Callithrix jacchus: one gene and its partners. The main gene of each other region encodes a partner of the protein of the gene in region 2 in a complex. Links are inferred from orthologs where the notes say so. Each region holds a gene or a part of one and is shown on either strand. Other genes may lie near its edges.

The links. The genes of interacting proteins can lie anywhere in the genome.
Region 1: the proteins of MAP2K1 (region 2) and KSR1 are in contact, whole or in part, in a crystal structure (PDB 9AXH), measured with the Homo sapiens proteins. The link is inferred for Callithrix jacchus from reciprocal best matches to the Homo sapiens genes MAP2K1 and KSR1. Residues at the interface, in NP_002746.1 of Homo sapiens: Asp217, Ala220, Asn221, Ser222, Phe223, Val224, Gly225, Thr226, Arg227, Ser228, Met230, Arg234, Leu235, Gln236, Gly237, Met308, Ala309, Ile310, Phe311, Leu314, Asp315, Val318, Asn319; in XP_011523731.1 of Homo sapiens: Asn767, Gln768, Leu769, Lys770, Leu771, Ser772, His773, Leu776, Val784, Arg785, Met787, Thr788, Pro789, Asn823, Gln824, Ala825, Ala826, Glu827, Ala828, Ser829, Ile830, Trp831, Gln832, Gly834, Ser835.
Region 3: the proteins of MAP2K1 (region 2) and KSR2 are in contact, whole or in part, in a crystal structure (PDB 7UMB), measured with the Homo sapiens proteins. The link is inferred for Callithrix jacchus from reciprocal best matches to the Homo sapiens genes MAP2K1 and KSR2. Residues at the interface, in NP_002746.1 of Homo sapiens: Val81, Glu102, Met219, Ala220, Asn221, Ser222, Phe223, Val224, Gly225, Thr226, Arg227, Ser228, Met230, Arg234, Leu235, Gln236, Gly237, Met308, Ala309, Ile310, Phe311, Glu312, Leu314, Asp315, Val318, Asn319; in NP_775869.4 of Homo sapiens: Lys674, Arg818, Asp820, Lys821, Leu822, Arg823, Ile824, Gln825, Asn826, Ile837, Arg838, Gln839, Leu840, Ser841, Pro842, Gln877, Pro878, Ala879, Glu880, Ala881, Ile883, Trp884, Gln885, Gly887, Thr888, Met890.

What each region holds. Positions count from the first base shown.
Region 1 is NC_133506.1:105,819,069-105,826,571, reverse strand, and holds part of KSR1 (kinase suppressor of Ras 1), read left to right. Parts: coding exon 1-352; intron 353-2,522; coding exon 2,523-2,619; intron 2,620-3,804; coding exon 3,805-3,938; intron 3,939-4,670; coding exon 4,671-4,802; intron 4,803-6,043; coding exon 6,044-6,179; intron 6,180-7,503.
Region 2 is NC_133509.1:13,471,985-13,479,487, reverse strand, and holds part of MAP2K1 (dual specificity mitogen-activated protein kinase kinase 1), read right to left. Parts: intron 3,206-7,503; coding exon 2,995-3,205; intron 1,785-2,994; coding exon 1,638-1,784; intron 1-1,637. UniProt on the Homo sapiens protein: Dual specificity protein kinase which acts as an essential component of the MAP kinase signal transduction pathway.
Region 3 is NC_133510.1:120,566,619-120,574,121, forward strand, and holds part of KSR2 (kinase suppressor of Ras 2), read right to left. Parts: intron 5,870-7,503; coding exon 5,502-5,869; intron 1-5,501. UniProt on the Homo sapiens protein: Location-regulated scaffold connecting MEK to RAF. Has very low protein kinase activity and can phosphorylate MAP2K1 at several Ser and Thr residues with very low efficiency (in vitro).

The DNA.
Region 1 (7,503 bases), on a different chromosome or scaffold from region 2:
AGGCAGAAGACGACGAGGACGAGGTGGACGACTTGCCGAGCTCTCGCCGGCCCTGGCGGGGCCCCATCTCTCGTAAGGCCAGCCAGACCAGTGTGTACCTGCAGGAGTGGGACATCCCCTTCGAGCAGGTAGAGCTGGGCGAGCCCATCGGGCAGGGCCGCTGGGGCCGGGTGCACCGCGGCCGCTGGCATGGCGAGGTGGCCATTCGCCTGCTGGAGATGGATGGCCACAACCAGGACCACCTGAAGCTCTTCAAGAAAGAGGTGATGAACTACCGGCAGACACGGCACGAGAACGTGGTGCTCTTCATGGGGGCCTGCATGAACCCACCCCACCTGGCCATCATCACCAGGTAACCCAGCCCCAGGCCCTCATGCTGGGTGGCCGACTCAGCCTCCCCCTTCCCAGGGAGCCACGTTGTTTGGATGCCCTCGAAGGTGTGGAAGTTCTAATAGAGGTACAAGGAAGAAAACCAAAAATGGGATGTAACTTCCTACTCACATAACCTCACTGACACTAAAAAATAAATAAATACGGGCTGGTGCAGTGACTCATGCCTATAATCACAACACTTTGGGAGGCCAAGGTGGAAGGATTGCTTGGGGCCCAGTAGCTTGAGACCAGCCTGGGCAACATAGTGAAATGCTATCACAAAAAATACAAAAAAATTAGCTGGGCCTGGTGGCAGGTACCTGTGGTCTCAGTTACTGGGGAGGCTGAGGCAGAAGGATCACTTGAGCCCAGGAGATCCAGGCTGCAGCAAGCCAAGATCATGCCACTGCACTCCAGCCTGGGTGACAGAGTGAGACCTTTCTAAGGTTATAGAAAAACAAATGTCCATCAAAGATACAGAGTGAAAGCCAGTCATCTCCCACTGCATCTGAGCGCTTCTCCCCAAAGTCAGAGACACTATAAACAGTTAACATCCCTTCTGTTAAAATGAAGACATTAGCATATACTCACATTTTTAAACTGTTTATTGCTTCTTATAAAAATGCAAAGGAGAGATCATGCTGGTTCATGCCTTGCCTTCTGCACTCAATAACGGGTCTGAGGTCTGCTCTCTTCTAACACATGCATGGTATCCCCATCACAGAGGCGGAACCTGGTGGTGTGCTGGTAAATGTGTATCAACCAGTTTTGGGTCAGTAGGGAGGGTAGCCCTAATTTGTTACATCCATCACATCCTGTGGTATAAATATTCTCACCATGGTCAATTTCAGACTGCTAGCATGACCTCCCTGGAGTGCAGAAGAATTGGAATGAGTCATGTAACACTCATGAGCTGACCACTGGTGGTCCCATAATTTATTTACAGAGCAAGACTCTGTCTCCAAAATTAATAAAAACCAAAACAGGTAATTAATTAAAGAAACACAAGACAGGGTCTTGTTCTGTCACCCAGGCTGGAGTGCAGTGGTGCAATCTTGGCTCACTGCAAGCTCCACCTCCTGAGCTCAAGCAGTTCTCCTGCCTCAGCCTCCCAAGTACCTGAGATTACAGGTGCACACCACCACTCCCAACTAATTTTTGCATTTTTAGTGGAGAGGGGCTTTCACCATGTTGGCTGGGCTGGTCTCAAACTCCTGACCTCAGGTGATCCGCCCACCTCAGCCTCCCAGAGTGCTGGGATTACAGGTGTGAGCCACTGTCACCTGCCTGAAACAGGAAAACATTCATTAACAAAACAATCTTACTTTGTTTAGAATACACAGATAAGGAAATCACCAATACTCTTTACCCCTCACCCAGTTTTCTTTTTTTTCTTTTTCTTTTTTTTTTTTGAGGAGGAGTCTCGCTCTGTGCTAGGATTACAGGCATGAGCTGCTGCTCCCAGCCCCTCCCCCAGTTTTCAAAGGCTCTGAGACTCCAGAATATTTTTCTAAAATCATAGTCCTTTCCTAAGATAGCTCCCCTGGAACAGGGGAGTGACCCCACATTCTCCCTCCTTGCCCTAGGTTTTAGGAGGTGACGCAGGTGGGGACCCCAGAACTCGGGCTTCTTTTCCAATAGTCACTGTGCCCTAACATCTCCCCTACCCCTTTCCCTCCTTGCACACTCCTTTATTGTTATAAAAATCCCATGATCAAGAAAAAAATGAAAACTGTAATGAGACTCTAGACAGTGATCTCCAGTGCCTTGATGTTGCCTGGTGATTGCCTTAAAAGGCCAAGTTCTTCCCCATCAGAGTGATCCTGCCTTGAACCCACCAAGCATGGCTACTCTGAGTTCCTGGGAGCTTTGATGCGCTGTTTCCTGTTGTAGGACAGGCAGGCACTGGCTCTCAGGGAATGGGGTTTGTGTGCGTGTACGTGCGTGGCGTCATATGTGTTTCTGCATGTTCAAGCTAGACCCCAGCAGCCAACGGCTGGGTTAAAGAAGATTTGGCTCACAGTTAAGGGGGTGGAGAGAGTCCTTGCAGGCAGGCAGTCAGGTACAGTTCTCCCCATGGGCTCCACCAGGGACAGGGTCAGGCTGCACCAGCCCGGGACCTGTGCTTGATCCACCACCACCCTCAACAGCTTTTGCAAGGGGCGGACATTGCACTCGTTTGTGAGGGACCCCAAGACGTCTCTGGACATCAACAAGACAAGGCAGATCGCTCAGGAGATCATCAAGGTGAGGGGGTGTCTGGCTGTTGGGGGGTGTGTTTCTGGCCAGTTCCAGGGCTCTCGGCTGTTCTCCCACTCTGTCAGCCCCCGTCAAGTTAGTTTGGCAGCTTTGCCTCTCCCTCTAGCTCAGGCTTCTCAAGGGTGGGACCCTGTCTCCTCCTCCCTGTCTCGTTCACTCACAGCTGGGAGCTGACCATCTATATGATCAGCCTTGATGGAATTGACTTGTTTGGGAAGGAACTTGGCAGGCCTTAGAGACAGTTTCAATCCTGGTCACACCCGCTGTGTGAGTCTGGGCAGGTTGTTTAGCCTCTCTGAGCCTCAGTTTTCTCTCCTTTAAAATGGGGATCCTCATATAGCCTCCTCTCTGGATTGATGTTAGGTTAAAAATGCAATAATCTATGCATTGGGGTGCACAGGAGCCCTGGGTCTGGTGTTTGAAGAAGCTTGACCTTGGTTGAGATCATGCCTGTGTCGGGTCACCCACGTTCCATGTACCTGCCTCATCAGTGCTCAGTTCAAATAGAGCATTGGTTAGAAATCACCCACTGCCACCTTTCACTTGGTAGATAAGAAACCAGGCTTCAGAGGCGTTGAGCACTGTGTCCACAGCCACAGAGTGAGTGAGACTCTGAGCTGAGATGGAATTCAAACCCCAGATTTCAGTTTTAGTCCAGGGCTCCTTCTACAGCTCAGATATTAGGAACATCCCAAGTTGGGAACCCCTCTGTGGGAATGCCTCTCTGTTCCCCTGCCCTGAGCCCTGGCCCTGCCTGAGAGTGGAGACCAGTGATGCATATCCTGACAGAAAACCCCAGCTCCTTTAGGCCCTTCACGACTTAACACAGAAAATCTCACTGTTCCTGACCCCCCTGGCTCCCTGCCCTTCACCCTGTTCATACCCCCTACCTTATCCAAGGTTAAGGTGGCTATTTGGAAGCATGGTAACATTAAAAGAGCATGGACCCATCTGGGGTCAGATCTCAGCTCTGCTCCTTCACTGCTGTGTGCCTTGGGACAAGTGACTTTCCTTCTCTGAACCTCGCTGTATTCTGTAAAATGGGGACAGTATACTGCATGGAATGGTGAAGATCAAATGAGGGGTTTTGGGTAGAGCATCCAGCCCAGGGTGGCAGCTCCGTCATCACCACACATCTTCACTCCTCCTGATCTGGGGCTCACTGTCCTCCAGGGCATGGGGTATCTTCACGCTAAGGGCATCGTACACAAAGACCTCAAATCCAAGAACGTCTTCTATGACAACGGCAAGGTGGTCATCACAGACTTCGGGCTGTTCGGGATCTCGGGCGTGGTCCGAGAGGGACGGTGAGTGGGTCTTGGGTGTCTGGGTGGGACGGGGATGCTGGGTGGGGAAGGGCAGGCCTGAGGTCTGGGCCCTTTACTGTTTGTTGCTGAGCTGCAGCTCTCCCTGCAGAAGTTCAGGTCGCTTTGGTCCTGCTCTTGTAGTTCTGGTTCAGAATCAGATTTGGGTCATGTTTGGATTCTCAGGCTGGCTTCCTGGAGAACAGGTCACCACACTCATATTTGCCCTGGCTGTTCACCAGCTTGGCCAAGGACCCAGGATTCATTTCCCCACGATGAGGAAGAGCGTCATTTTATTTCCGCAGATCTTGAAGGGGTCGGGGTGGGGAGAAAGGACCCTCCCCTGGTATCTGGGGAACCCTGAAAGGGAACATGGCAGTGAGGCTGCAGGACCTGTCCCAGGCAGGTTTGAGATCCACAGGCAGATCGGGGTTCCTGGTTAGAGCAGTGCCCCATTCTCCTAGCAGAGAACTGCGCACCTTCACAGGCTCCTCACTGTCAATATGTATCCGTTTTTGCCCCACTTTTCTAGAAACACCCGGTCATGACTCATTTGTAGAATTCCTCAAAAGCACCGGTGCCTTTCCCAAGTGCGGGGTCAGCGTGCTGGCTCTGGGTGTGTTCTCTAAGCTGTGTGTGGGTGCTCTACTGGCCCTGGGACAGACCTGAGCCAGGCAGGCCTCTTGGCTGCTTGCTGAAATGCCTGTGTCCCTGCCCTGACTTCCTGGTCTCCAGGCGTGAGAACCAGCTGAAGCTGTCCCACGACTGGCTGTGCTATCTGGCCCCAGAGATCGTGCGTGAGATGACCCCTGGGAAGGACGAGGATCAGCTCCCATTCTCCAAAGCTGCTGACGTCTATGCATTTGGGTGAGTAGGGCCCTGGTGGCCATCCGTGGCAGAGGGAGGCAGGCTTTTAAGTGTTGAAAACCCAGACTTTGGAGTAAAACTCCACCTGGTCTTGAGTCTTGGCTCTGCTACTTGCTGGGTGACCACATCCTTGACCTTCTGCCTCCCCGTGAGTAAGATGCAGAGAAGAATAGCTCCTCCCCACAAGGTCATTTCCTGAGGACTAAGGTAGGTCATTGCCTTCCATGCTTAACACTGGCCGTCAGCCCCACCCAGCTGATCTGCAAGGACGCTCGCCAGAGCTGACGGAGAACTGTCCCTCCCAGGCTGGGGGAGGTGGGCGTCCTGCCAGCCAGGCTCTGGTACCCCACAGAGAGCTGGGTGCTGACCAGTAGCAATGTAATGTGAGCCCAATATAGAAGCTAAAGTTTTCTAATAGCCACATTAAAAAAAGAGATGGGCGAAATTAGTTTCCCCTGTTTATATTTTATATATTATAAAATGATATATTTTATTTAACTCAGCATATCCAAAATATTATTTCAACATGTAATCAACATACAAATTAATATGGAATATGGTATTTTATGTTCTTTTTTCCTACTAGTCTTTAAACTCTGGTGTGTGTTAACTGCCCAGATTACCCCTCCATTCAACTGTGTACATTTCATCCAGCCAATAGCCCCCATATGGCAAGAGGTTCCCCTACTGGACAGTGTGGATCTGATGGAGAAAGGCCCATCCTAAGTCGAGACAGCCAAGGGGACGTGGAGAAGCTAAGCAAGGCTCACCGCCCCAGTCCCCTGTGCTGTCTCTGGGTGTCCTTCCCAGTGGGGTGGCCTTGGCACCATCCTTCTTCCCTGACCTTTAACTGTATCCTTTTCTGAGCACGCATGTGTGCCAGGTGCTGGGCTTGGCACTTCAGTACTCCTCAAACAACCCTGTGACAAGAGGCATCAGCCCCACTGAGGTGAAGCCGTTTTACCAGGAGCCAGTAGAAAGTGGCAGAGCTGGGTTGTGCTGAGGTCGGAATGACCACCCATGCCGTCTCAGACTTCCCACCGCATGACAGCACAGGGCCCAGGTCCTCCAAGGCTGGGAGGAGCCTCCAGGAGGCCATCGTCGCATCCCCTGAAGCCAAATGAGTGAGGAAGGTTAGAGAAGTGTCCTGATCCTCTGGCTGGGTGATGGCTGCAAGAGCCCCTGCATGTGAGCTGGGCAGAGCGGCCCCAGAGCTCATGGCCACGGCTGGGTCTCCACAGGACTGTCTGGTATGAGCTGCAAGCGAGAGATTGGCCCTTGAAGAACCAAGCTGCGGAGGCATCCATCTGGCAGATTGGAAGCGGGGAAGGAATGAAGCGTGTCCTGGCCTCTGTCAGCCTGGGGAAGGAAGTCAGTGTGAGTAGCCCCTGCCTGGGAGGGGCAGTAGGACTGGGGGTCCTTCATTCGAACCGCCCTTCATTCACCCACCTGAGAAGTGGGGTTGGTGAGGGGCTCTGCCACCTGCAGGTGTCTAGCTAGAGATGACAACGACACGCACTGCTGGGGGTGGGAAGGAACGGGGGGCGTAAATAAGAAAATATCTGTCTACACCCACCATCACCTTTTTCATTCCTTTCGGTGTTTTTTCTTTTCCTTAAAGATAATGGTTTTCAATGATTTATAAGATGAGAAGAAAGTAAAGCCCCATGTTATTTATTTATTTCTCCACATGCAGCCTTACAGTTATACCTGAAAAAGCCCCATGTTATTTACATGAAGGAAGATCTTTTTTAAAATCACTGCTCAAACTACAAATAGTTGTGTTACGCTGTGGTATTAAATCTTTCCCCATAATGTTTTTCTTGACGGTTAAGAACAAATCGAAGTTTCCGCAGCAAACTTGTTTTCAAAAAACCGAGTCTTAATTATGGTTGCTGACTTCTCGTATCTGCGTGGCTTCTTCTTAACGGTTTCTCTGTGTTTGTAAGTTTTCTCAGGCTCAATAAGAGAGAGAGGCTCTCAAAAGATGTTTATTTGGAACTAGAGCACTGCACTGGGAATATGCGTGCCGTGGTAAATGGCTTATTCCGGGAGGCAAAGGGAAAAGTGAAGAGGATTACATAATTGTTTTGAAGTATTTAATAATTGTCCCTGGCTACAAAGATCACAAGAGTGATGTCAGTCCAAGGTTAGACAGGCTGCTTTGGGCAGATGTCCTTGGAGGAGTATTTTTTTTGCATACGGTTGCAGTGGCCTTCATACAAGGTTGCAGGTTTTGGAGTCTTTAGGGATGTTTTTGTTATCAGACATACAAGCACAAGAAGCCTCTCTTCCGGGCTTTCGCAGGCCTGATTTGTGGCATTTTCTTCACATTAGTGACTGTTTTGATTCGGACAACTTTCAGTTCCCTTTGTCATGGTGCAGTGATGTATAAAGAAACTCCAGGACTGGCTGTTTTCAGTCCATCGGTGACAGCCATGTGTCCATGAATCAGATAGGATTGGGACAAAGCAGCCTTGATGTTCATAAGCAGCTGCAGTCAGTATCCGGGCAGCATAGCAATCGAAGTCTTCCGAGGGCCCTCCCAGCACTTGTCCAGGCTAAGGTCTGAATAGGCTGTGAGCTTCTTGCTCAGGTCATGAGCAGTGCTGGCAGGGTCACTGCAAATCCACAGTGATGAATTCAATCTCATCTTCCTCCAAGATCTTAATAGATTGTAACACTTTTCTCAGTTTTTAGG
Region 2 (7,503 bases):
TTATGAAAATAACTGCTCAAAAGCTTTTATTCCTGCACAAGAATCATCAACTCTGGATCCCCAGTTCTCTGGTTGCTCAGCTACCACCTGAGCAGGAATCTGCTTCCACAAGGACAAAAGCATTCCTGTTCTAATCAGGGAGCACTGATTTCCCTACTTGGGTTTCAAAATTCAGACTGGACAGTGCACACAGAGCTTGTTTCTAGGAAAGATCAGCCCCTGGCTGAGTGCTCTAGAAGATGGGGCTCAACCAATGCTGATGATGCAAATATACTTTAAAACACATCCCCAGAGCCAGGTGTGGTGGCTCACACCTGTAATCCCAGCACTTTGAGAGGCTGAAACAGGTGGATTGCTCGAGCCCAAGAGTTCAAGACCAGCACGGGCAACACAGTGAAACCCCATTTCTACTAAAAATACAAAAATCATACTTCTTTGTATAGTGGTGAAATTAAAAAAAAAAAAAAATCAGCTGGCATGGTGGCGTGTGCCTGTAGTCCCAGCTACTCAAGAGGCTGAGGTGGGAGGATCACTTGGGCCCAGGAGGCAGAGGTTGCAGTGAGCCAAGATTGTGCCACTGTACTCCAGCCTGGGCAACAGAGCAAGACCCTGTCTCAAAAAATAAATAAAAACAAAACCCCACACATCCCCCCAAAATTGGCACAATGGATATGTGGTAAACCAAATATATCAAAATATAAGTTGTAGAATCTAGGTGGTAGGTTTATGGGTGTACATTCCCTTCCAGTTTTCCCATATGCTTACAAAAAATTTTTTTTTTTAGACAGAGTTTCACTCTTATCGCTCCTGCTGGAGTGTAATGGCATGATCTCAGCTCACTGCAACCTCTGCCTCCTGGGTTCAAGAGATTCTCCTGCCTCAGCCTCTTGAGTAGCTGGGATTATAGGTGTCCGCCACCATGTCCATCTAATTTTTTAACCTTTAACCCATGGTATCTGACATGATATCCCAGTAGATAGTGTCGGAACTGAACAAGAGGACACCTAGGTAGTGTCTGTAGATTGGAGTGTAGAGAAAATCTCTCCACACTTTGGGTCACAGAAGTCTTCATAACACAACCTCCACCTTCCGGGTTTAAGCAATTCTCATGCTTCAGCATACAGTGGTAAAATCAGTGGCAGCTCACATGTAGATAATGAATTAGCCCATGAATGCCCTCTCACTTCATTGCCCTCTCCTTCCACTAATAAGCATCATGCAAAAACCGAAAGTAACCCTTCAGGTGCCCTTACAGTAGATTATATCATCTTCATAATCCCAGAGCCTTGCACCTAGCATACAACATTGTACAGAAGAAATGGATTTAAACTGTATTTACCAGATTTTACTTACATCACATATTAGGGTCATCTGAATCAAAAAACTAAGAGAGATGCTCTAGGAACACCCACCAGGAATACTGCCACTTCTTTGATGAGAGGCAAAGATCTAGAAAGGAGGCCTACCGTCTTGTGAATATTCCAAGCCCTACAGTCAGACTTCCCAGATGCCTTAGATAGTGATGTGGATCCCAGGAGCAGCATGGAGGCAGCTGGTCACCTCCCAGACCAAAGATTAGGCCAGAGCCACCCAACTCTTAAAGCCATTGCTCCAGAGGCCGAGAGGGTGTCACATACCATGTGCTCCATGCAGATACTGATCTCGCCATCGCTGTAGAATGCACCGTAGAAGCCCACGATGTACGGAGAGTTGCACTCATGCAGAACCTGCAGCTCCCTTATGATCTGGTTCCGGATTGCAGGTTTGATCTCCAGATGAATTAGCTGGTGAAAGAAAGAGAGATTTTATGAAAAAAGGAGGAAAGGAGAGACGAAATATGTAGTCTTGCTAAATGTTTAAGCTCTTAAAGGTAGGGGGAAGAGAAACAGGTAAGTTGTAACAAACAAGTTTCTGCTGAACCAAGAACTGAGTGTCACTGTTCTAAGGCAGGCATTGGCACTGGGGGCTGTCCCAGCTGTGCCTCAGCTCCTGGAAGCCAAGACAGGAACAAAGTTAACGAAGGGCTTACTCCAAAAGAAACTATGGAGCTCAAATATGAAGAGAAATTGACCTTGAGTACTTGGTTCACACTCAAGAGTTGTGGAAATAGAAGGGTATGAGGAACTCAAGTATGCTAAACTAGGCTGCCAAAGAGATTCTTCCTTGAGCTCAGGAGCCTGATGTGGTTGAGACTGAGCCAAAGTCTAAGGTCCTACCTTATGTCACCCTAACATTTTCCCTTGTTCCAGCTAGGGAGACAAGTGACAGCCACATTAAAAAGTTACATAGTAAGATTGAACTTCTAAAAAATCCCACATGGTGGATGTCAGATATGAGTGTCAGAGAACATGGATGCAGCTGTTACTAGTGTGTGGGCTGGAGCAGCTGGTGAAAGCTAGATAAGAGGTGTATCTAGAAGATGGGCACTGTTTGAAAAGGCAGAAGGAACAACAGCACAAAAAAAATATGGGCACGGGAGTAAACACAGTGTGCAGAAAAACATCAAAAACCCCAACCTCTCTGGAGCAGGGGGCTGTGTTCCAAAAGAGGACCAAGGCAGACAGGAAAGGGAGGTCCAGCTCAACGAGTACATGCTATGGCAGGGGGTTCAGATGCTGTAATGCAGGAAGATAAAGGGAATTTACTGGCACAAGTGGGAAACAACTTGAAATCCATGTTTTGTGTATCACTGGGGCTAAGTGAATGAAAGCAGCTTCTCGTGCACATGATAAGCAATAAACAGATACCCTGGCATCCTTCCACAGCACACAGAAGGCTAAGGAAGAGTCACTTATTATTTTCCAGACAGGATGGGGATTAATACACTAACACAGTCATTAGTGTGTTTATCCATAATCTCATAGATGACATGCATTTGAAATTCAAACAGCACAAGGAGGTATTGAGGAAAGTCAGTCTTCCTTCTACCCTGGTCCCCAGGCCTCTAGGTACCTGAGAGATAATCCAATTACCTGTTAATCAAAGCAAACTCACCTTTCTGGCCATGACCAGGCCAGAAGGCTTGTGGGAGACCTTGAAAACCACACCGCCATTGCCAGCCCCCAGCTCACTGATCTTCTCAAAGTCATCATCCTTCAGTTCTCCCACCTTCTGCTTCTGGGTAAGAAAGGCCTCAAGGCGCTTTCGCTGCTGCTCGTCAAGCTCTAGCTCCTCCAGCTTCTTCTGCAAGGCCTCCAGGTTGGTCCTGTCACAAAGCAGAGAGTAAAAGTCAATACCATCACCAGAGAAGTCAACCCAATAAAGCACTCCTATCACGGAAAGCTCCAGCTCTGGGGACAGACAGAGAACTAAAGTGGGAGGCTAGAGAGGAGGCCCCTCCCACTGTGGCTCTGCCCACTTCACTCCAGCCACTGCTAATGACTATCACCAAAACGCTTTACCTCTCAGGGCTTCCATTTCCTCATTTATAAAATGAAAAAATCAGGTCTTTCTGACTCAATATGCTTCAAGTCTATGAGAAGAACCAAAGAACCTACTAAAATCCAGAATGGGCCACCTTAATTTGCTTTAAAACTTCAATTTAAAAAGCCCCACTACTGTTGATTTTATTGTTTTTACCATATACAAAATAAAATTCTCTAAATCCACTAAAACGAAATCAAACCAACTTTAAACTGAATCACAACAGCAGAACTCCTCATTTTCAATGTAACCAGGTCCAGTAACCAGGTTAATCAAAAAAGCCACAGCAAAAAATAAAAATAAAAAATTATGTATCTAAAATGATTATTTTTCCATAATGCACATAAATCTTCATTCATTCATCCATTCTTTAACATAGGGCGAGACTCTTTGAATAAGGGTCCAAAGAAGACCCTCTGGTTAAGAGGTCCACATCACCCTTCTCACATGGACCAGAACATAATACATGGTTGACAATTTCCTATTCATGATGTTTAAGTTGACTAGAAATGTAGAAACTTGCAGAGTAATCACAGTACAAAATTTTATGTATGTATGACCCCAAAACCTAAAATGCAATTAAAAGAAAAAAAAATAGTGAAAGCCTGAATATTTTCCTGTAAGATCAAGGCAAGGATGTCCACTCTTACCACACTTAAGTCGACATAGTGCTGAATGATCTAGCCAGTGCAAAAAGACAACAAAAGGAAATAGGAGTCATATAGATTGGAAAGAAAGAAATATTATATTTTCTATATTGTTTTCATTTTTTCAATTATATCAATTTCTGTTCTTATCTTATTTCTTTCTATTTGCTTTGGGATTATTTCTTTTTCTACCTTCTTGAGGCATGCTACGGTTTAAATGTGTCCCACAAAGCTCATGTGTTAAAAACTTGCTCACCAGTGCAGCTGTGTTGAAAGGTCTGGCCCTAATGGCAAGTGTTTGGGTCAAGCTCACTGCCCTTATGACCATTCATGCTGTTGTCTCGGGAATGGTTCCTTATAAAAGGATGAGTTCAGCCCACTCTTGCTTTCTTTTTGCCCCTCCACCATAAGATGATACAGCAAGAATGCCCTTACCCATGCTGGCCCCTCAGTCTTAGATTTAACAGCTTCTAGAACCATAAGCCAATAAATTCCTGTTCATTGTTTAAAAAAAAAAAAAAAAAAAAAATTAGAGTATGATTTCCCCCAATCCTAACATTCATCTAGTTTGACAGTAATGTGTTTTAATGACTTGGACTTGTGAGTCTTTCCACAGCTTTTAACTGGTGTTCATAGGGGAAAAAAAAGGGAAAAAATCATTTCATTTGCAGTTATATTTCATCAATTTATCTAATACTTAAATACATTATTTAACTACAATACCAGCTACAGCTGAACAAATGCGTTTGAGAACAAGCTGGCTCTTGGTAAGCAAATAATTCAGCCAGTGGGTGCTGAAGCGAGTGGGTACGGCAGAGAGCTGCCTGCCAGCTGTGCATTCAGCATGCTGTGGGCATTGCTCAGCATGTTCCATCCAGGGAACTGAAAAGTGTTCATCACTCCTGGAGTTGGTTAACAGGAAAGTGGTAAGACAGTTTGCACTGTGTGTTTCACTGGATTTCACTGGGTCTCAAATTGAAGTCCTGTGAGGCAAAGCGTGTCAGTGACAATTGTGTGGGGTGGCTGCAGTGACACAGGTGACAAGATAGGCCTTCATTATATATCATCATGTGGATGTTCCCGCCAACACACACACCCCAGTTCTGAGCTTAAAAGGCAGAATAAGCATAATCTGCTCTTCCTTCACAACCTCTATCCCAAACCTCTAGAAGACAAGGAAATGGAGACCTAATAAGGTGATCCGACACTGCCTTACAAATAACATCACACATGCAGCCAAAGAGGAAGCAAGGCTGAGGGTACTGATTTTCCTCACTGATATACCCCCCACCCCCACCAGCTGCACACATCAAAGAAAGGCCATGCACGCACACAGTGGGAAGGCAGCTGTCTGCAAGCCAGGAAGAGGACTCTCGCCAGAACCCGACCATGCTGTCCCCCTGCTCTTAAGACTTTCAGCCTCCAGAACAGTGAGAAAATAAATTCTTGTTGTTTAAGCTACCTATTTTATGACATTTTATCACAGCAGTCCAAGCAAACTGAGACAGCTACTCAATAGTTTCATCCTGCTAGAAGGTTCAGCTATGTCTCGCAGTGTCCCCAGTCTCTAGAGTGAGGGAACCCAGAACATGTGTGGCTGGGGGTGTACAGAGCATACTCTCTGGTTTCCTTTCTCCCAGCTCTCCCCACAAAGGAGCTTGCTGAGGACCACATTTAGAAACACACTTCAAATGCAGATGGGCACCACAGGTAAAACTTCAATGAGGTTACAGCTACTTGGAGGGCTCAGCGGGCCGGTGAGAAATACAGATTCCAAAAGCTGTCTCTCTCTCTCTCTCTCTCTCTCTCTCTCTCTCTCTCTCTCACTCACACACACACACACACACACACACACACATACAGAGTGTGCATGATGGGGGAAGGGAAGGAGGGCTGCATGGAAGAAAAATTGCTTTCCTCACAACACTGTGTACTCTCCTCAGTGCTTTACATTTATTAAGTCATTTAAGCCACAACCCCCAATTAGAACAGATAAGCAAACTCAAGCACACACAGGTGAACTAAGATGTCAAAGATCAAACAGCTGGTAAGTGGCACAGCGAGGATTCAAATTCAGGCAGAGAGAACTAATCTCTCACCTTAACCATGATGCTATACTACCTTCAAAAAGCTCAATACTTTCAAGGGAGGCAACTGACAAATGTAGGTAAGATCCTTGTGTGAGGCATTTAACACACCAGGGCTCAATCATGCATAAAGGTGGTGTGCCCTACACAAAGAGGTCTTTGCACCATGGACAATCCTGTCTCCCATGCACATCAATCAGATGATGGATCTACTGAAGCAGATTAACACTGCCTTGCAGCTAATACTCGCCACAAGAAATTCAATCCATTTGCCAAGGAAAAGGGAATGCTGACTCTGTTCACTTTCCTGACTCTTTGAAATAAATAATTCTTACACCTTCTGGAGGAAAATCTAAGTCTGGGCTTTGTGCTACCTTTCTCCCTCCTCTACCTCCTAGGCCCTGCTATTTATCCACCCACCCCATCAGCTAAGGAACTGGCTTCTGATCTGTGCTTTCAGAAGGTGGCCAGAGAGAGAAATGGCAAAGACCTTCCTAATGGCAGGTGTGTATGGGTGACGACTGGAGATGGAATAGTGTTGGAAAATTAACGAATCACTGGTGTTCAAGAGTACTGGATTCTTACCCCAAATTGTTCATCAACTAGCTAAGTGACCATGGATGGGAAAGTCACTTAACCTTGCCACATTTCAGATTTCTCTTCTATACATCATGGAATACTGTGCAGCATAAAAAAGAACAAGCATAATGCCCTTTGCAGGAACATGGGTGGAGCTGGAGGTCATTATGCTCAGCAAACTAATGCAGTAACAGAAAACCAAATACCACATGTTCTCATTTATAAGTGGGAGCTGAATGAGGAGAACACATGGACACACGGGAGGGAATGACACACACTAGGGCCTGTCGATGGGTGGTCGGGGAGGAGGGAGAACATCAGGAAGAATAGCTAATAGATGCTGGGCTTAATACCTAGGTCATGGGATGATCTGTGCAGAAAACCACCATTGCACACGTTTAACCTATGCTAACAAATCTGCACATCCTGCACATGTACCCCTGAACTTAAAATTTTAAAAATAGGCCGGGCGCGGTGGCTCAAGCCTGTAATCCCAGCACTTTGGGAGGCCGAGGCGGGTGGATCGCGAGGTCGGGAGATCGAGACCATCCTGGTCAACATGGTGAAACCCCGTCTCTACTAAAGATACAAAAAATTAGCTGGGTATGGTGTCGCGTGCCTGTAATCCCAGCTACTCGGGAGGCTGAGGCAGGAGAATTGCCTGAACCCAGGAGGCGGAGGTTGCGGTGAGCCGAGATCGCGCCATTGCACTCCAGCCTGGGAAACAAGAGCGAAACTCTGTCTCAAAAAAAAAAAAAAATGTTTTT
Region 3 (7,503 bases), on a different chromosome or scaffold from region 2:
ATTGAGCAGAAATGAACCACACTTCCCTTTAGGGCTTCTTAAAACCCAGCTTGCTGGACACACCCGCAGAGGTTTGGATTCAGTAGGGGAGGGTGGGAGAGAGAATTTGCATTTCTAACAAGTTCCCAGGTAAGGCTGGTTAGGGAACCACAGGATAAGAAGCACAGATTTAAATAATTTTGGAGTTCTAGAAAATTATTTGGGGACTGGGGAAGGGGGTGAGGTGGGGCTTCAGTGAGGGACTGTATATTGTTAGTTCTGCACAGCAGTTTCATGAGTTGCTAATATTTACGGAATGAATGTTTTTCAGGGAAAGACAGAGTGTGTGCATTTCTTTGTGGGGATGTGGGAAAGAGAACAGGAGAGAAAGAAGAGAAGAACTGGTGTTAAGAATATATGGAAGAGGAGTGTGTGTGTGGGTGTGTGTGTACGCGCGCACATGGGTGTGCTGGTGCCACAAGAATTTACAGAGTACTGGAGAAGCACATAAACACCAGAAAATCAAAGCTACAAAAATGAAACTCAGTTCGAATAAGCCAGTGGTTCTTAAACTGAGGCGTGAACAAAATCCCTTGGCACTTACTAAAAGATACAGAGGTCCAAGCTAATTGAAGTAGGATGGGGCGTCAGCCCTGAATGGTCATCAATTTCTCCAGCTGATTCTGATATGACCAAAAATGCGGAATCTCTGTGCTATGGACCTGCTCACAGGTGAGGTCCATTCCCCTTGATCTAGCTAAGGCAGCCACTGGCAAAGAAGGAACCTACTAGACTAGTATTGTATTCAGATATACATTTGCTTATTCCTAGTTCTGCCAGTTACTTTTTCTATGACTTGGGCAAGGGCTCCCTCTGACTTTCTGACCTCAGTTTTCTCACCTGTAAAATGGGCACTGGGATAAACCAGAGAACCTCACCACACCTGGCCTGAAGCAAAGCACTTGCTGAAGGCTGGTGGCAACTGTGTCTTTTTTGGTTTATTTTTGAGGGCTCTGCCTTGGTTCTACCCCAGAACCGGGGAAATGATTTCAGCAAAGAGGCTCAGCCATCCCATCTAGCATGCATGGCTTGCCTTCTGCTGGTTCAGAGCTTCACCCACTGTCAAGACAGCAACCCTATAGGGTGATCTCTATAACACAGTTTGCCAGTCTGACTGAGGGCAGCAAAATAGAGTGAAAGGAAGGACGCTGGGTGTCCACCAAGACCATCAGCTCTTTGATTATAATGGGAAGTTAGGGCAGATAAGCGGATCATTTCCTAGAACTGTTGCTGCCTTTGCACTGGGCAAAATATCTCCCTTTATGTGCCCACCCTTCATTTCTGAGGCTTCCTCATTGCTGTCCTCCACCACCACCATGCCGCACCCCTTCCCACAACCCTCCAATGGCTGCTCACTGCCTTTGGCGTAAAATCAGGACTCTTCACCAGGGATTCTACAACAGAGGGCTTCAAACCTGGCTGTGTGATAGAGTCCCCTGCACGCTGGGCAATGTCTCAGGGGCATTTCTAGTTGTCACAACTTGGTGCCTGGTGCTACTGGAATCTAGTGGGTAGAGGCCAGGGATGCTGCCAAACATCCTACAGTGCATGGGACAGCCGCCACCACAAAGGCTTTTCTGACCCCAAAGATTAATAGTGCTGAAGATGAGAGACTCTGCTCTGGGGCAGGGCCAGGCACTGTTAACTGTATTAAAAGCTCCCCTTCCTCCACCAGGCTTGAGAAACCCTGCCTTCTCCAAGTCTTGCTCCTGACGGCTTCTCTACCCTCACCTTCTCCCCTTTGCCCTTGCCTGTCACCATCACAGTCTTTTTCCAGAATCTGCATTTTTACAACTTTCCTCTCCTAAGACAGGTGTAGGAAGGTCCAGGTACACCATCTTTGAGATGCGCTGCTCAAGACCTGTTCCCAGCTGCTTCTCAAACACAGCTCATTATCAGACAGGCAAAGAATACTGTCAGAGTTGGAAGGACACTGCAACAAATATCTGCTTCCACCTGTTCATTTTACAGAAGGAGAAACTAAGGCTTATGAAACCCCAGGTAGCAAGGCAGAAGGGTGAGAGACACTTTCACTCAACTCTATTGGCTTTCACATTTCACTTGGAGTTTTTAACACGAGTGATTGTGCAGACGGTGAATAGCTTTGCCATAATCCCATAATGACTCAATCGTGAAACAATCTAGCAATCCTGCTGCTAATAGCATTTGTGGCTACAGCAATTGGGTAACTAGTTTGTTATTACTCATTCCCTAAGAGCCACACATACTGCATTGCAAGGAAGCTAATCTTAGAAGTACTTGTTAACTTCGATGATAATTACTAGGTAATTGGCTAGAATGCGCCATTGTGGATTGATCCAGAATATGCCAGGTAATTATCTGGTCTTATGTTCCCTGTAAGATAAATCTAGGGTCCCAAAATGGTTCCAGTTGGTTGGCTATCATCCAACCATCAACCTCTGCCAGCCAATTGTGCAAATGCAAGTGATTAATCAAATTACTCAAATATTTGGTTTCAAACTGAACGTGCAGATAAGAAACCTGGAGAGCCAACAAGTGGACAGGGCTGAATGGGAGAGAGGGATGCACAGAGTCCCTCCCTAAGATAAATATATAACAACACAATAATATGGAATCAATGCCACTTCTTTGGGGCTCATCTGGCATCCTCACACAAAATACCAAAACACTTCAGAGACCAATTACACGTCCCAAAGCTGCAGAGTCTTTATCATGGTGCCAGGAAAAGGCTGGGCTATTTGTGAAATCTGTAGGCAGTTATGGTGCTTAGGGAGGGGGGCTCAGAATTTTGTACACAATAGAAGGGGGCCGCAAATGCAGCTGGCTTGCAGGATGAGCAACACATTTTCATAACGACCACTCGTTATCAAGGATGGCTGCTGAGTTTGTCTGTTTCCAACTTGCTAGCCTTCGAGAAGAGGGTGAGGGAGTCATGGGTGTTAGGCTCCATAGATAATGCTGAAGAGAGAGGCAGGCGGGTGGTGAGGAGCTGACCAGAGAGAAAGATGGGGTAAGAGCTTAAGATGGGAGCAATGGGGAGAAGGCCAGGGGTGGGGAGAAGACCACCTTCCAACCAGACTTGTGTATCCCAAGTAATAGACTATTGACTGCTGCTAAAAGATGATGATATATACTGGGTAAGAAAGGGAAGGAAAGGGAGCTGAGGGTCTCTCTGTAGTAGACTGCAAAAAGAGCCAGATTGTCCCTACACTGCATCCATGTCCTTGCAGTGGGACATTGCAGATCTTCCCATTCAGAGGTAGAGGCTCTGTCTCCATGCCTTGAATCTAGTGGAGCATAGGAGTTGCTTTGGCCAACAGATATGGGTCTTGACCTCTCACTGCACGTGGAAACCTGAGACTGCCAGGAGAATGAGCCTGAGCTAGGCTGTTAGGGATAGCCTAGTTATCCCTCACAGTCTGCCAACCAGCAGACATATGAATGAGGGCATCTAACACTGATTATCCCCTTGTTGACCCAGAGCTGACCACAGTCATCTATAAGAGCTCAGCTATTGAGTCTGGCTCAGCCCAGAACTGTCCATAGAGAAACCACTACGTTTTGGAGTAGTTTGTTACTCAGCAAAAGCTTATGCTCAGAACAGCTCAGCCCCTGAAGATTACCTGGGCTGATTTCTTCAAAGCCACTTCCGTCTGGTGCAGAGTTGAGAACCACCAGCTTTCCCCTGATTTAAGAAGAGTTGGAGGCCCATTCCCAGATCGGCAATCTTTCGCCAGCACTTACCATTCAAAGCACGAGTCACTCCAGTCAATGCATCGTCTGCATAATCTATGGATACAGAATATAATGCACCTTCTACCAATCACCAAGTTCTTATAAGTGGACTCAAGGAGGTTTTGTCTCACATGGGAAGAGATCAAAGACACACCAGCTCTTCTCTGAGCTCACAGCATCTGCTTTGGGCCTGCCAAGACGCGAGGCTTGTGCATTTGGGGTGTCACTGCTTAAGCTAAGTAGAGGAAGGAGAGAGCTCCTAACTGGCCCTTGGCATCACAGGTCATATTAAGAATGCCACTGCAGAGGCCAGTCCTAATGTTACAAGAGAACCAGTGCCAGAGTTTAAAAACACACCAAAGGATTGTTTCACAACCGTTCCATTGAAACCAAAGCTATTTTTCCCCAAGCCTCAAGTCACTGGGAGAAGCCAGAGAGCAAGTCCAAGAAAGTCCCAGAAACATTCTCACAATGTTAGTTCTCTATTAACTATCCCTTCTGTGTATCCATAGACCACAGATCCTGGATATTCCAAACCACAACGGTAAAGACTGCAAATGTGCTCTGCAACTTTCATGAAAACCAGAATAATAGTTATCAGAATCTTGGCTCACACTTGTAATCCCAGCACTCTGGGAGGCCCAGGCAGGTGGATCACCTGAGGTCAGGAGTGTGAGACCAGCCTGACCAACATGGTGAAACCCTGTCTCTACCAAAAATACAAAAATTAGCCAGGTATGGTGCGCATCGCTGTAATCTCAGCTACTCAGAAGGCTGAGGCAGAAGAATCACCTGAACCTGGGAGATGGAGGTTGCAGTGAGCTGAGTTCGTGCCATATCGGCCTGGGCAACAAGAGTGAAACTCCATCTCAAAATGAAAAAAAATCTTAATCAGGGGTCTGCAGACTACGGCCCATGGGCCAAATACAGCCCACTTCCTGGGTTTATAAATAAAGTTTTATTGGGCCACAGCCTTGCAATTTCATTTGCAGATTGTCTATGGCCGCTTTCAGACTCCAGTGGCCAAGTGCAGTAGCTGCTACAGAAACTGTATGACCCACGAAGCTGAAAATATTTACTATTGGGCCCTTTACAGAAAAAGTTGGCTGACTCCCGATTTAGTGAAATCTACTCAGTTCACATATGAAGACAGTGACTCTTTGAGAAGTTGTTATGCAAATACTTGGACTAGAGGGGGAACTAGACCTGATGTTTCTGATTCCTCATTTAGTACTTTTTGGTTTTGCTGAAGAGTTTTAGCATTAAAAGTATTTTCTGAGGTTAGGTGTGGTGGCTTACGGGCCTGTAATTGGGAGGCCAAGGCAGGAGGATTGCTTGAGGCTAGAAGTTTGAGACCATCCTGGGCAACATAGCGAGACCCCCATCTTTACCAAAAAATTAAAACATTAGCCAGGTGTGACAGCACACACCTGTAGTGCCAGCTACTTGGGAGGCTGAAGGGAAAGGATCTCTTGAGCCCAGGAGTTCAAGGCTGCAGTAAGCTATGATCACACCACTGCATGCAAGCCTGGGCAACAGAGTGAGACCCTGTCTCTAAAAAAACCAAATAAATTAACTAAGTATTTTCTGGAATCTGAAATCTTAAACCATGTAAGTGAACTGTGCATGCTGGAACTGGAGATGGTCTATTAACCAGAGTGGTCAAGTAAGCAGAAAACCATTTCTCAACCAGGCCAGAAGCAGAGCTTTGGCAATCCCTGGGTGGGAGCCCAGGTGGAACTGACCTGGTGATGATGGCCAGGTGAGGTGGGCTCATGCAGGCGCCCATGAAAAGCACCACGTTCTCATGCCGCGTCTGCCTGTAGGCCATCACCTCCCGCTTGAAGGCCTTGAGCTGGTCCTCGTTGTCCCTTTCAATGTCAATCAGCCTGATGGCCACCTCACCATGCCAGCGGCCATGGTACACTTGCCCAAAGCGGCCCTTTCCAATGAGCTCGCCGATCTCCAGCTGCTCAAAGGGGATGTCCCACTCCTGAAGGAAGATGCTGGTCTGGCTGGCCTTGCGTGGGAAGCTCCGGGCCGAGAGGAGGGACAGATTCATCTCCTCAAAGTCATCCTCTGACTCCTCGGCCTCATCATGGGCCTCTTCATTCTGTGGCCGAAGTGGGAGAGAGGTCAGAATTGTGCTTGCCACTGCCTCAGCGTCCCTCGTGGTCCTGTGGGGTCCCATGTGCATGCATAGATCCTGACACATCTCTACATGGATTTGGAGCTGGTGAAGACATACATCCCTCTGTTTCCCCAGGTAGCTCTGGTCTAGAATCACACTACAGTAAAGGTGCTAAAAGGGAGATCATGATCGTCTAACTCTCTTGTGCTAAGTGGGGATATACTGAGGTACAGAGAGCAGTGTTAGGGGAGAATCACCCATTCTAGTTTGCTGGGATCTTCCTGGTTTTAGCACCGAAAGTCCCTTATGTTGCCATGGGAAGGATTCACTCCAGGTCATATAGCCAGGCAGAGGAGGAACTAAGATCCAGGTCTCTGGACTTGAATATCTCATGCCCTTCCTATTCTTCCAAGGTCTTTTGGTTAAGTTGCTTATGTGCATGTGATAAAGCCGATAGGTTAGACTTGCTAAAACAATGGGTACGTCGTGCATCTGCATGTAACACGTGACAACCATGAACATGGAGTACCTTTTGCTTCCCCAGGGAATTTGGAATTGATGATTTAAAAATTGGGAGAGGTCAGAGCTACAGGCTAGATGTCTGAGGCTCCTACAGCAGCCAGGAGCAGGTAGGAGACATGAGATTGAGAGGTTAACAGAATGGGCTTAACAATCAGACCAAGTGAGCTGAAATCCGGCCTCTGTGTGACCTTGAGCAAGTTGCCTGACTTCTCTGAGGCTGCCTTTCCTGATTGTAAAGTGGGGGTAATAAAATCTGCCCCAGGGGCAGTGTGAGGTTTTAAATGAGATGAAGACCTGTTAAGTTCTTTGTACAGACCTGACCACCTGTACTAAACACTCACTGGGAGGCCCGAGAAAATGCAGATTCCTGGGCCCTACCCAGCTCTATTGGATGAAAATATCAGCAGGCCGGGACCAGGAATCTGCATTTTTACCATGTGCACCCACATGACTCAGGCATACTTGGGCGTGGCTACCAATAGAGTTCAGTGCTCAAGATGCAGGGACCCTACCGTATCAGCATGATATCTGGGGGTGTTTGGGGGTGAATTGCCTCTTCGATTCTCCTGCAGAATTGTGGGAGCCGCAGGTGCCTGGCCAGTGGGGATTCCCAGAGACCCTGGGACCTGATGAAACAGCTTGAGAAGGTGGCCTCTTGACTGGGTACAGGTCTTCCTGACCCAAAATACCTGAACAAGCTACCCTTGATGGCACACTCAGGGGAAACAATATAGGAGACGTTGGTTTCTCCCAGGATCATTTTCCAATAACCAAATAGTCCCAGAAAGGAATACGATTTTCCTTGGAAGCCCTGACTCTATTCCTTTCAGTGCAAGACACAGTGCAGTGACAGAGCTGAGTGATCAGAACTCCATGGTTCCCAGACAGGGCATTTTATATAGTCCTGCAGCCGCTTAGGCAGGTGAGAAGAAGCCCCAGAGCATTTTCAACACTTCCAAGCCTGGCATCCCTGAGGCCCCCATCTCCTCTCACTATTGTTTTGAAGGCAGCGGGGCACATCTCCCTTGGTATTCACCTGGCCCTGAGCTGATCTTTCAACTAAGAATGCAAATCTCTTGCCAATTTCCGCACAA